Linked DNA regions of Xenopus tropicalis. The protein of the gene in region 1 interacts with the protein of each later gene in a pairwise test. Links are inferred from orthologs where the notes say so. Each region holds a gene or a part of one and is shown on either strand. Other genes may lie near its edges.

The links.
Region 2: the proteins of tk1 (region 1) and erg28 interact in a two-hybrid assay, tested with the Homo sapiens proteins (2 studies listed by BioGRID and IntAct). The link is inferred for Xenopus tropicalis from reciprocal best matches to the Homo sapiens genes TK1 and ERG28.

The regions. Positions count from the first base shown.
Region 1 is NC_030686.2:26,190,024-26,192,958, forward strand, and holds the end of tk1 (thymidine kinase, cytosolic), read left to right. Parts: intron 1-380; coding exon 381-474; intron 475-557; coding exon 558-647; intron 648-740; coding exon 741-860; intron 861-2,046; coding exon 2,047-2,241; 3' UTR 2,242-2,386; downstream 2,387-2,935. UniProt on the Homo sapiens protein: Cell-cycle-regulated enzyme of importance in nucleotide metabolism. Catalyzes the first enzymatic step in the salvage pathway converting thymidine into thymidine monophosphate.
Region 2 is NC_030684.2:82,404,768-82,408,525, forward strand, and holds the start of erg28 (probable ergosterol biosynthetic protein 28 precursor), read right to left. Parts: upstream 2,427-3,758; coding exon 2,294-2,426; intron 695-2,293; coding exon 604-694; intron 1-603.

The sequences.
Region 1 (2,935 bases):
GTGTAGAGTATGGTTTATATGTTTTTGGCAAATAACACTTTTTGGGAATTCACAGAAGTGTAGTTACCTTAAAATATGAGTTAAAGTGGAGCAAAATTAATTTACCCCACAAAATCATCTAAATACAAATTAACAAAAGTAGACGGTACTGTTTTATTGATTAAAATGGAGTCGATGGAAGATGGCCTTCCCCTAATTTAAAGCTTTTTGGAGAAAGGGTTTCCAGCTAATGCATTCCATAACTGTACTACTTTTACAGAGGACTTCAGTGCTTCTTTGTTCCAAACCATGTAGAGTATTTTTACATTGCTGTGCCCATCCTTTTTAAAGCAACTGTTAAGTATAGAGATTGAGATGTTAATGCTTGTTTGTCCTTGCAGGAACACAATGGCAGCTGTATCTGCCTGCCAGTTGCGTGATGTTTCCGCTGAAGCTTTGGCCTGTTCTGTTATAGGAATAGATGAAGGACAGTTTGTGAGTATTTCCTGATTTAACTTTAAAGTTCGTTCTTCACCTGACTTCTGATGACCGATAATAAAACTTCTGTTCTCATTCAGTTCCCTGACATTGTAGATTTTTGTGAGGAAATGGCAAATCGTGGAAAGACTATGATTGTAGCAGCTCTGGATGGCACATTTCAGAGGAAGGTTAGTTGTAGTTACAAGTATAAGAATGCAATGTGTTGTGCTTTTTACATGGGTTTTAAGTGGCCCTTACCACCTTTTTGTGCACATTTTTAGGCATTTGGAAACATCTTGAATTTGGTGCCTTTGGCAGAAAGTGTTGTAAAACTCAACTCTGTTTGCATGGAGTGTTATCGGGAGGCTGCATACACCAAGCGGCTAGGGGCAGAAAAGGAGGTATGTAAATAGTCTTCTGGAGGTATTATTTATGTCCTTGTCTGCATGTGAGCTATTTGTGCATCAAAAAATGCCAGCTACGTTTTCTATAGACAGATAGCAAAATTATTGCAAATATTTTGCTTCACAGGTAAATCCAATAAATTGCATTATTTCTGTTATGTTATTGTACTTTAAATACAGGTAATGTGCAAATAATTTTTTCCTTGTACTTAATTTCATACACACAAATGGTGTGGCCATATTGCTTAATTTGGTTTAGATATATTCATAGGGGCATATTTATTATAGAGTATAAACCAACATCACCGGTGATGTTGCCCATAGCAACCAATCAAATCTTTGCTTTTATTTGCTAACTTGTAGGTGACCATCCAAATTGAATTGCTGATCGGTTGCTATAGGGAACATCGCCAGTAATGTTGCCTTACACACTGTAATATGCCCCTACTGTATATTCTCATGTTAATCTTCAATTGATGTGGGTTTTGTAATGGCCATTGAGGCAGGAGGTAAAAGAATTAATGTTAATTTTAATTAGGCCAAATTTCAGCTAGTGTCCTGTAGGTTATGAGCCTGCAGACCAGAAAGGGATTTAAAATGCAGGTCCCTATATAGGCATTTTCCACATTCATTCCTTCCTTCCCTCCCACTCTTAAATTATGTCCTTTACAGTTTCATTGTAACCTCATTTTTTTTATTCTATCACAGTGAGTGGGTGAAGCTGCGTAATTTCCTTTTGTTGCTATATGATAAAATGGCAGTTTTAGTTTGAGTCTTAAGTTGTATCCATTCTAAAAGCCCTCAGTAATCCTGATGCTGCCTCCTTTATTTGCCACAATAGTTTTGCATATTACGAGCTAAAAAGAAAAATATATATTAGGGGCCAGTGACATGTGGCAGTCGGGCAGATTTGGATGGAAAAAATTGGCCGGCACTTTGGGTGTGGGTTGTCATTGCCCAGCCACAGCCTGTGGAGCCTGGCTCCACAAAAGCTAGCCTCATCATTGGTGGCATAATGTTTATGGGCTGGTTTGGGTTGGGACAGGTGTCTTAAAAGCCTCTTTTCAACCTCAGACTGGGTAAGGCCTAGGTTGAGAAGGCTGCAGGTTATGGTGTGTGCAGGTCCCCATCTCATAGAATCAGATTTAATTTTTTTTTTCTCCTTTTTCTGCATTGTGTGCAGGTGGAAGTTATTGGAGGAGCTGAAAAATATCACTCAGTCTGCAGACTTTGCTTCTTCAAAAACCAGCAGCTCCCGGTAGAGAAGGAGAATGTGCTTTCTCATAATGCACTAGACACCATTTCCTTAAAGCTTAGTAACAAGCTGCAAACAGCTTGTTCCCCACGCAAGCCACTTGCACAACGACAATGCTTGTAATGGACTGTACAGCTAACTTACTGTATTGCTTAATGTGTATAATGTATGTTTTTTTTAAGACTTATTTTAATTTTTTTTGTATATGTTTTACGTGCATATCTGTATTTACATTAATATTGGCTTCTAAATGGAGATCTTGCTCTTTTGTGCTGTCTTGTTATTTATTTAAATGTCCCTAAAAGCTTAAGGTCCCCATACACGCTGATATCCCCACCTACGGTGGGGCCAAACGATCAAATTATACTGGCGGCAAGGGGCAGTCTGTTCGGGGACCGCATCAACGAGCCGATGCGGCCCCCGATCCGACGGAATTTTCTAACCTGGCCGATCGAGATCTGGCCAATTTCAGGCCAGATATCGGTCGGCTAGGACCCTCGTTTCTGCCCCTACACGGGCAGATAAGCTGCAGAATCGGTCTAAGGGACTGATATCGGCAGCTACAATCTGCCCGTGTATGGGGACCTTTAGTGTAAGAAAGGAAACGACAATGTGTAGTAAATGTTCTTACCTCTTTCTTATCTTGAATTGAACTAAACCCCTGTAAGATGTGACGGATTGCCAAAATACATTCTACAAGTTTGATGTGGTTGTATAGGTCAAAAATCATGTGTTAAAATGCATGAAAGATTTGTCATCTGACACAACATGCCTGTTGGAAGATCAGATGGAGATCCTGACCCAAAAATCTGATCAA
Region 2 (3,758 bases), on another chromosome or scaffold:
TAGTCCCTACCATAATGCAAGCTTATCTTCCTATCATATAGCACACACACTATTTGACTCACAAGCCAACATGTCTTCATACTTTGAAGTATGAAGAAAACTGGAGTAACTTGAAGAAATCCACTGAGACACAGGGAGAACATACAAACTCCTTGATTGTTATTAGGAATCTGGCAGAATGGAAGGTAAGAATGGCAAAAGAAATGGAAAAGCAAGCAAGTCAGAAGAGTCACTACAAAGTACAAAAAAATGTGCTGGCACATCAGGGATTCCCCCTGCATGTGGCAATTCAAATCAGGGATTCCCCCTGCATGTTTATTTAGTGCATGTGTAAAAAGGATGAAAAAAATTCAAGGGGAGAGTTGTGTAGATAATAAAAAGAGAAAGGAAACCACGGAACACGGAAGGGGTATCCCTGCTTTGAATTGCCACATTGTGCTGATACATTTTTTGTGTTTGTATGCACAGAAGTGAAGGGTTAGCGATCCCTCCTTGCGCACTAAGCACCAGACTGAAACTGAGGGAAAAGCCAGAGTATGTGGGTATTTTTGATGTTCAACAAATACTTATGGTCTTATAAAAATGCATTCTAAGAGTGCGTACGTCTTGTTCCGGATATCCACTGCACATGCACATCGGATAACAGAGGAAAGCAGTGTCCACACCCCAAAAGTACGAGCTTGGAGACCATTTACTGGTTGAGAGGTGGAGAAATAAAGCAAGTAATTAATAAAAGATAGAAAAACATTGTTCACTGGTTGTCATAATGCGAATCTTAAAAACCCATGTTACTTAAAAGGGAATTTGCTCAACTAAAAACTTATCATACATGATATACCATAGATGTTAAGACCTAAAAGAATAGAATCGTTTTGAAAATAAAACAGAGATGATTTATGAACGTAAGTGCTAAATTGCATAAGAGCAGTTGTCAGTTGCAGTTAGCAATTAGTTTTGAACAACCTACTACACATATTTATGACACCGCAGTCTATTATTTTACCATATTTGTAAAAGCATATCATTACCCTTTAATATCAAATACAGGCTATAAATTCTTGATCTGGACAAAATCCACACAGAGGATTAGACATCTAAGGCCTCTCTCCTTTAGTAAATGTTAGTGTTCATGAATTCACCATCAGGAGAACACTAAATAACAATGGTGTGCGTGGCAGAGTTGCCACTACTATCCAAACGAAAAACAAAAAAACTGCCATTACTACCTGTTAGTTTGCTATAGACCATGTGAGGAAATGTTGAGGACCTAAAGGAGGCAGCTCATGCAAGGAAGCCCACCAGCATCCCTTAGATAGCTTGCATGCTGGGAAGAGATGCCATGCTTTAGCATCCTAGGAAGAGCTGGCTTAGGAGTGAAATAAGGTCTTTTCAGAAAGCTGTTCCTTAATGATGGCCATATACAGGCTAAAACAGGCTGACTTGAGATACATTCCAACGTTAGTACTATCTCTAAGGCACTTGCCTATTTCCCGTGTCTCTTGTTTTTTTCCCAAACTCAGGCAGGCTAATTTGTACCTAAAAAAACATAAACCCTGGCCCATGTGTTAGGGAATTTAGATTGTAAGCTATATTAGGAAGGGACTGGCATAAATGATTAACCATCTCTGTAGAGGACTGCGTAAATGTGCCATTGCTATATGCAGAAAGATTAAACACAAGACCTTTTATTTGATGTTAACTAATGAAGCAACAATCCATGTTGATGGGAAATAATTCCCATTCTAGTAGTAATAGTACTGCACTGTAAAATACAGGATAATCCCTTATTCAGAAAACCCCATGTCCCAAGCATTATCAAAAACAGACCCTGCACCTGTATTTAATAATAATTTGAGCCCACTTTAGAAAGTAACAAAAATTTTTTTTGGTACCCTGATATCACTGTAAATGGTTATAAGGTATGGTATGGCCATATAATGAATTCCTCATTAGTGGGCTACAATGACTGGACTGAACTTCCTCCAAAAACAGGAATGTGTGGAAAGGTGTGAATAAGGAGGTAAACAACATCTGGAACCAAACTTTCCTTCGAGCCTTTTACATTCATAATGTAGTGGCCTGGGCTATCATATACCTTGTTTGTACACCCTTACTTGTTATTAGAACGCTTATATGTTACCTCTGGGTAAAAAGCTTCAGTAGAAATTCAGTTTACCAACCAGGGATTGGCTGCATGTGTTTTATGCTGGAGGAAAACCTGGTATAAAGTTAGCTGAGTAGGTCGACAAGCGCAAAGTTTAATAGGCAGGGCTGCATAAATGTTCATACCTACCCAGGTTAGGGCTAGCGGTATAAAGCTTGTCACTCAGGAAACTGTGGTCTCTAAAGCTCTGGAATGTGTTCCCAGCTGCGATAATGGAGACCATCATGAGCCAGCTTCTTAACACAGCCAAGAATCGGCTCATTTTTGGCACAAAATGTTTAATATATCGCAAAAGCTGAATTTTTTTTAAAACAATGCGAACCAATGCTGGTACCCCTGGAAGGAAGAATTTAAACATTTATTAGTATTTTTAAAAAGACTGGCTTCTGTATTCAACTTAAATTGGTCTGCACCAGACCTTCAACAAACATTTTTACCTGCTTAGACCCTCTAACTGCAACAGCTTTATGTACATCTTGACTTGCTATCATAATAAGATCAGAAATGGGTGTCCTTCCAGGGTATGGCAAAAAAAGGGCTAGAAGCATATTTTAGTAACTGCATTAAAAAAACAAACCACACTAGACCCCTTGCAGCAGCGATGCGTGGGCTGGCCCAGTATTGACAGGAACCACAGGTCAGGTGGGTTGAGGCTGCAGCCTGTGCATTTGTAGGTTTCTGTCAGGCACAGGTTGGATTTTAATATTTCACTGTTCTCTGCAGCCTGGTATCTATGTGGGCCTTGTACAATGGGTTTGATATCTGCCCAATTCCCCAGCAAGTGGCAGGGCAGACCACTGGCTTGGCCTGATACATGGGCCAGTAAGCCGCCAACTTATTCTGGAGTTGCCAACCAGGAAATCTTACCAAACAAGGATATTTTTACTTGCATGGTCAGATTTATGTTTACTGAAAAAAACTCTCTCAGTTCTTAGTTTCTTTGTATGTAAATCTGCAAAATACATTGAGGCCATATCAATATGTGGTAATAATAATAATACTTGGCTGTCTAAAAAACTATGGGATTTGAGCTTTGTATAGAAAATACAGTAGACAGTTACAGACAATGTACTGTATATTTTATTTGTACTTGCTATATAAAGCAACATCATAAAATGAATACATATATCCAAAGTTATTTACATTTTTTGGTGGAGAGCAATAAATGTTATTAAGAAATGCAAATAAAAATGGTTTCTTACAAATCTGAGGTTTACCTGCTGGAGATATGCAGCAACAGAAGACCTTGGACCCTCAATGCAAAGAATTTTAAACCAACCACTCACTCTCAAAGGGTGTATTAATGATTAACTATGGCCATAATTTTAAATGAGACATCCAGAAAACCCTGCTCGAAATATTAAAGTGTCCAGTTATTTCCCTCTGAATATTTAATATTGCCAACTGGTTATAGAAAACTATTCCAATTATTAACTTGTATTAAGTGACATCTTGATCATTGAGAGCATCATTTCCTAGTAGAAACAGGAACAGGCACATATGGGAGCCCTAGAATGAAATGTTTCCTTACTTAAAAGAAAATTGTCAGTGTATTGATTTAAGACAGGTGTTATTTTAAAGTTTCATCAATTTA